Oryctolagus cuniculus: one gene and its partner. The protein of the gene in region 1 interacts with the protein of each later gene in a pairwise test. Links are inferred from orthologs where the notes say so. Each region holds a gene or a part of one and is shown in the gene's direction. Other genes may lie near its edges.

The links. The genes of interacting proteins can lie anywhere in the genome.
Region 2: the proteins of TFIP11 (region 1) and FAM13C interact in binary tests that used the Homo sapiens proteins (3 or more experiments, as listed by UniProt). The two-hybrid records come from large-scale screens. The link is inferred for Oryctolagus cuniculus from reciprocal best matches to the Homo sapiens genes TFIP11 and FAM13C.

The regions. Positions count from the first base shown.
Region 1 is NC_091452.1:20,270,114-20,273,592, reverse strand, and holds part of TFIP11 (tuftelin-interacting protein 11), read left to right. Parts: intron 1-577; coding exon 578-1,105; intron 1,106-1,214; coding exon 1,215-1,321; intron 1,322-1,951; coding exon 1,952-2,120; intron 2,121-2,545; coding exon 2,546-2,789; intron 2,790-3,218; coding exon 3,219-3,361; intron 3,362-3,479. UniProt on the Homo sapiens protein: Involved in pre-mRNA splicing, specifically in spliceosome disassembly during late-stage splicing events. Intron turnover seems to proceed through reactions in two lariat-intron associated complexes termed Intron Large (IL) and Intron Small (IS).
Region 2 is NC_091446.1:51,834,776-51,838,521, reverse strand, and holds the start of FAM13C (protein FAM13C), read left to right. Parts: upstream 1-1,248; 5' UTR 1,249-1,353; coding exon 1,354-1,415; intron 1,416-3,746.

The DNA.
Region 1 (3,479 bases):
CCAGGTCACGCCCCCGTCACACCCAGTGCTTCCCCAGGGTGTGCATTAGCTGGAAGCTAGAATTAGAATCAGAACCTGGACTTGAACTCAGACACTCTAGGAGATGAGGGTGTCCCAGGTAGCAGTTGAACCGCCGCAGGGAGTTCCTGACCTAACGTGAGCAGGTGCTAGCTCCTTACCGCACGTCCCTGTCCATGTTTCTCGATGCTTCCATGCGCACGAGTGTGTTTCAGCAGAGTGAGATGTTTTACTGCCTGCTGCCATCAGGGCCTGGTGTGTACACAGTACAGCCTCTGCTTTTCCAGTCAGATCACTTTTGCATCACTGGTCCTCAGTTCCCATTGAAGTTTCCTCAGCTTTCCCAAGAATCCTCTGTCCAGCTTGTTCTAAGGGATGCAGCCTAAACCGCTTGCTGCGTCGTTTGTTTTGTCCCTGAGTCTCCTCAGTCTAGTACTGCGCGGACCCCACTTTATCAAACACTGCCCGCTGCGGCTCTGCCGAGTGGCGTGGCTCTCACTCTCGGCCAGGCTTAGCCACCTGCTGACCCACGCCCCTCTGCCTCCCCCCGTTCCCCCAGGTCATAGACATGACGGGCCGGGAGCAGAAGGTCTACTACAGCTACAGCCAGATCAGCCACAAGCACAGCGTGCCCGACGAGGGGCTGCCCCTGCAGGCCCAGCCGCCGCCCGTGCCGGGCAAGGAGGCCAAGGCCCCCGGCTTCGCGCTGCCCGAGCTGGAGCACAACCTGCAGCTGCTGATCGAGCTCACGGAGCAGGAGATCATCCAGAACGACCGGCAGCTGCAGTACGAGCGGGACATGGTGGTGAACCTGTCGCACGAGCTCGACAAGATGGCCGAGGTGCTGGAGCACGAGGAGCGCGCCATCGCCAACCTCAGCAAGGTGCTGGAGCTGGTGGAGCAGTGCGCACGGCGCCTGCAGCCGGCCTGCAGCAACCCGCTCACGCTGGACGAGTGCGCCCGCGTCTTCCAGACCCTGCAGGACAAGTACTACGAGGAGTACAGGATGTCCGACCGCGTGGACCTCGCCGTGGCCATCGTCTACCCGCTCATGAAGGACTACTTCAAGGACTGGGACCCCCTCAAGGTGAGTCGCCGTGGAGCCCAGCCTTGCCCGCCCTCGCCCTCGTCGGGGGAGGCTGGGCCGAGGGCCCGGGGCTGCTTGGCCCTGCCCCTCAGCTGCTCCTTCCTCCTAGGACTGCACGTACGGAACCGAGATCATCTCCAAGTGGAAAAGCCTCCTGGAGAATGACCAGCTCCTGTCCCACGGCGGGCAGGACCTCTCGGCGGACGCCTTCCACAGGTACTGCGGGCGGGGCTCGGCCCTCCTGCTGCTGGCCCCTGGACCCAGGGCCCGGGGCGGGGGGGGGGGGGCAGGACCTCTCAGGAGAAGCCTTCCACAGGTACTGCGGGTGGGGCTCCACGCTCCTGCTGCTGGCCCCTGGGCCCGGGGGAGGCCCAGGAGCATCGACGGATTCAGCTGGCTTTGGGTCAACGCGTGTGCCAGGTGCTGGGCACACTCAGGAGCAGCCCCCGTCTGCAGTACAGTGCACAGGGCAGAGGACAGATGGGAAAGTGCAGACATAGGGTGCTTACTGTTCACAGTGACGGAGAGGAGCAGGGGCCAGCCCCTCCCCCAGAGAGGCGACATTTAAGCTGTGACCCGGAGACAGACGTCAGCTGTGGGGGGACTCTGGGGGGAAAGTGGCCTGCAGGGGCCCTGTGGTCCTGAAGCTGCCCTGCCTGGCGGCGAACATCCCCGAGGACATGAGCAGGTGCAGACAGCCAGAGCACGCCCAGAGGCGGGCCCGGCTGACCAGCGCGGTTTCCTGGGGCTAACGGCTTTCCCTGCTGGGTCTTCTCCCTTCTCTTGGGGGCGGGCGGTGACGAGTGTCCTGAGCACTTCACCGCCCGCCCCTGCCTCTCCCCACAGGTTGATATGGGAGGTCTGGATGCCTTTTGTCCGAAACATCGTCAACCAGTGGCAGCCGCGGAACTGTGACCCGATGGTGGACTTCCTGGACAGCTGGGTGCACATCATCCCCGCGTGGGTCCTGGACAACATCCTGGACCAGCTCATCTTCCCCAAGCTGCAGAAGGAGGTGGGCCCTCGCCGGTGCCCAGGGGGCTGGCCAGCATTTCTGCTCGTTACCTCGGCACCACGGGGACGTCTGGACTGAGCAGGCCCTGCCGGCGTGGCTGTCGTCCCGTGCTGTCAGCCCCGCCCTCTTCTCCGCTTTGCCCCCACACCCCCTGCCCCGGGGCAGTGCTTTCTGCCCATTCTGCACAGTTAGAACTGTGCCATTGTCAGATTTATCACAGATGCATGGCCGTGTTTGGGTCAGCGTCTGTGGGGAAACAGAGTTGCCCATGAGACCATGTCCTCCATCCACATGCAGAAGGCTTTGGCCCTTGGCCAGGAGAGTGCCAGGCCTCCTCCCCCAGGACCAGCGCTTGCCTTTAAGTCCGCCGGGTGTCAGACAGCCGCCCCACACTCTCTGAAGCGCGTCTCCCCACTCATCCGCAGGTGGAGAACTGGAACCCACTGACGGACACCGTCCCCATCCACTCCTGGATCCACCCGTGGCTGCCGCTCATGCAGGCCCGGCTGGAGCCGCTCTATTCGCCCATCCGCAGCAAGCTGTCCAGCGCGCTGCAGAAGTGGCACCCCAGCGACTCCTCCGCCAAGCTCATCCTGCAGCCCTGGAAGGACGTCTTCACCCCCGGCTCCTGGGAGGCCTTCATGGTCAAGAACATAGTGCCCAAGCTGGGTGAGGACACGGGCCACACGCCTTCTCTGTGTATCCGGTGGCTTTGCTGCCCTGGCCTCTGAGTGCGTGGAAATGCGTAGCACATGTAATTTCTCGCTGTGAGAACCGTGCCGTGTGTGCAGGGGCCGAACGTAACCTCGCGGGGTCCTCTGCCGTGTCTGCAGGGGCGGTGCTGGACTCGGGGTGCCCTGTGCACTTCCCGAGCACTGGCCTTGGCTGGGCTGTCGGTGTTCTCAAGCTTTTGTGGGATTTCATGCTAAATATGAGTTTGTTCTGGGTTAGAGAAGAAGACGCCTTTTAAGAATTGTTACATCAAGGCTTCAAAGTGATCTTTGGGAACGGTCGGCCGGGCAGCTTGGCGGGGATTCACCGTGGCTGCTGCGGCCTCGCAGGAGCCGAGCCCCCTCCGAGCCAGGCTGTCTCTTGCAGGAATGTGTCTGGGCGAGTTGGTCATCAACCCCCACCAGCAGCACATGGATGCCTTCTACTGGGTGATCGACTGGGAGGGCATGATCTCCGTCTCCAGCCTCGTGGGGCTCCTCGAGAAGCACTTCTTCCCCAAGTGGCTGCAGGTGTGTGCTCGGGCCGGGGCCGGCGCTTCCTTTCCATGCAGGCCTGGCTGAGGGCACCATGGGCTGAGTCGTGGCTGCTGCTCTCAGCAGCTCCGTGGGGACTGTGGCCCCCCAGGGG
Region 2 (3,746 bases), on another chromosome or scaffold:
CGTAAACGTGCAAGTTACCATGTAACTCGACATGGGTAAGATCTAATCCACTGTGCTTAGCTAAGTCAAGCACAAGGATAATCTCCTAGCCTTTGGGTGGACCTATTAAACAGTATGACACTTAGTATGGCACTGATAGATCATGCTTCCCTACCTCCCCAACCCCGCATTTCTAAGTTTGAAATTTAGAAATTTAAAAAAACATTTAAAAATTTAAAAATACATTTTTGGCGGTTTCGGTCTTAAATTAACTCATCACCTTGTGTACTTTGCACTAAAAGCCACCATCTCAGTTGCTTCTGGGAGTGGAGACATTAAAAAAGGGGGGGGGGGGTGAACCTTACTTCAAAATTCAAATAAGCATCTTTCACAGATGACTGTTCATTCCATATCAAGGTCAACGTGACCAGAGAAAGGAGCCACGGAAAGAGGGCAGGACACACATCCCCAGGGGCATGAAGCCACTAGGGGCTGGCAGCTTTCCCCTCCTCCAGCATGGCTACCTTCCTTCCAGGGGGTGGTGTTTGTCCATTCTGTCTCTCCACCCTTTGTGAGGGTGCAGCTCAGGCGGGCGGCTGGGGCGGAGCAAGCCCCACCCCCTTTCAAGTGCCCTAGTCACCAGCTAATGCCTGTAATAAATAAATGCTCCACTTGCCCTGTGTGGGCTCATTCACAGCTCTGTCCTCCCGGGCTGGGCGCTTCCTCTGTGGGTCTGAGATAACGGGGCAGACAGATCGGGAGTGATGCCCCAGTCCTTCTTAACGGCTCTTCTCCTAAGCAATGAAAAGAACACACACAATAAAAACCAAGCAAAATCCCGGCAGCGAAGTCCCCCTCCCCCTCGGCTTTTTCTGAAGGATGGATGCTTCTCGGCGAGCCTCCAGCCCTGGGGATTGGGAGTGGAGGGGGGGTAGCTCAGTCAGACTGGTAGAAGACGTCTGGAGGAAAGCAGGTCTCCGGGGTATTTCAGCACCTAGGCAGAAACAGGAGGACGTCGCCGGCCGGCCCCGGGGTGGGGGTGGCTGGCCCAGAGAGCCGTGCAGCGAAGGCTGGCTAGGCTGGGGGCGCGCGGGAACTCTCCAGGTGCCCCTCGCTGCCAGCCGGGGTCTCGGTCGAGCCGCCGCCGCGCCCCGCCCAGCTCGGTCCCCGCACCCTCGCGGGCTGCCGGGCTTTGTGGTTCGCCTGTGCAGCTGGGCCCCTGCTGGGGGTGTCGTTACGAGCATGTGCAGACAGCAGCCCAAGGTAGAGCGTGCCGGGCGAGCCCTGAGACTTGCCTTGCAATGCCATGTTTGTGTATGCGCTCTAACTCCCGGAGAGCAATCAGGGAGACGGCTCCCCGGCCAGACTTGGCTGATGTTTTCTTGTTTCTGTTTCAGCCTTCAGGATAATTCCTTCAGCAGCACCGCTGTAACAGAGTAAGTGATTCTTGCCATTAAAATTAGACTTGCATGCCTTTTCTGCGGAAGCAACTAGCGTGAAGGTATCTTCCACCGTCTCCAGCAGCTCTTCCTATTAGATGCATTGTCTCCCGTAATCGGGCTGTGAACACGGCGCGAGACGTGCTGACTGATGGGGCCCAGAAATCTTTGCAGGTTGAAATCAGCGTTTTAGCAGCTGCAGGAGAGAGATGAAAAGCAGCTGATTGCTTGTGGGAGCTCAGTGCTCCGAGATAGGTGTTCTTGGAGCTCAGATATTGAGAAAGATCTATTTGGCATGTCAGAAAGGAAGCTTTGTTGCTTTTTTGCCAACATTGGTGTCAATGCTCGTGGAGTGCACGTTGTATACATTAACTGCAAATAGGAGATGGATGTGAAATGACTTGAGTTTAATTCCAGCATGCGGATGAAACAGGCTAAACTTATCCTTGCTCTCTCTCTCTTCTACAGATTAAGACACAGGAGAGTAAACTTTTCTCGCATGCCCTTTGTCATTCTTGGCTTCTAGGCACAGAGATCTGGCTATAGGAGGAATGAGTCATCTGGTCCTATGGTTAAAGCTGTAGATTAGGGCAACTGACACCATTAAAAGATCAAATGAAGGAGTGTGCTGTTCTCAAGGCCAGCAGGCACCGTATTTGTTCTGTTAGATAGTTAAGGTTCATAGTTTTCATTCTTGTCCCTTCTTCAATGTTTTCCTAATATTTTACTATATAACTTAAGAAGTAAAAGGTAGTATATTTTGCTAATACTATATTTAATGTGTAGTTTGTATTATATATATATATGTGTGTGTGAAGTACATATATGTCATCTTCCTCTAGGCGAATTCATGATGTTTATGTTTACTTCCGGGACCTTTGGCAAAAGTCCCTCTAAACAACTGTTCAGGGAAAAGGCATGTGTACAGTTGTATAATCAACTACATTTAAAAGCAAATGTTGCAAGGTTGATAGAGGAAGCACAACTAACTTGGGAGCTGTTTGCTGAAGTTCTCTAAAACAGCGAATAAATAAAGAAATGGGTATCACTAGATCTCCCAGTCCTACTACTGTCTCAATGCCTTGGTGACGGAAGAGCAGGTCTCTCTAGTGCTCTCACACCCTCTTGTTTCCCATTTCTTTTGTTGCTCTGTTTGGGTTGCTGCTGTCTTGGTGTCTAGCACTGAGCTCACCTAAGAGGAGCTGCTTAAAAGCAAACACTAGGGTTGATTCCAGCTGAGGTGGTATGAAATACTCATTTGGACCTGCAGCCATTAATTGCTTGGTAACCTGTGCTGCAACTTTGCTTTTTTAAAAGCCTGAGAGAAGTGGAGAGATGTGTGCCCAAATCTCCAGGCCAAACGTGAGGCCTTGACGTCCTGACTCAGGTGCATAGGTACTGCTCTTCTCCTTTTGCTCTGCTTACAAACACCAAGAGCTCACTTGGCCTGATTGTCAGGAGCCCTGTTTTGCTAAGTACCCAGAGACAGTTACAGGCATAGCAGCTTAAAATGGAGACACTTAGTTCCAGATGACACATAGCTTTTTGTTTTTTTGGTAAAGGTTTTATGGTTAAATGCTGGAGAGAATGTGGTATCTTGTTTTTGGACACTCCCCAAGAAGTTTGGATTGCATAAGATCATGTTGTTACTTTCAGAGAAGTGATAGTGATTTATTTTAAAAGGCTGTAAGTGATAATTGGGATGCCATCTGGCTAATATAAAAATCTAAGGAGCATATTGAAAGCATGCAAGGTGGAACACTGCACAGATTGGGGTCACTTAAAACCAATCATTGGCTAACTTGAAATTCTCCCTCAGTAATCTGAACCATGCTCCTTGGTTCTCTAGGGCATGACCCCACAGCAGTAGGACCAGGGTCCCTTATCCAGAGACAGAGACGTATCAGGGACTTAGTCAACGTCTGGGTATGGGCTTAGACTACACGGAGGAGATGTTTTTCTGTCTTACATGTTCTGGATATCAGAAAAGTTCCTCTTCCTCCTGGGCCCACCACACTCCCACTTCCTCCTACTCACACCCACTTATTTTCTTTCGTGTCCGACATTCCACCTAGAGATAACATCTTTTGGATTAAGTGTGCTAGTAGTGAACCTTCTTAAAATGGAGGTGTAAAAGTCTGCACTCCTGGGAGGTAGATTCAAGTTGTCAGTAGCACTTTTATAGGGACTGCTTCATCACGTATTCCATTCTGACAGGGTTGCACTGGGCCAACTGAGGGTCTTAAGAGTCAACAGGAAGTGGAATTGTGAAGGATTCAGGGACACATTTTAGTCTCTTCTTGGCTTTGCCCAGGAAAGGCCCTGTCT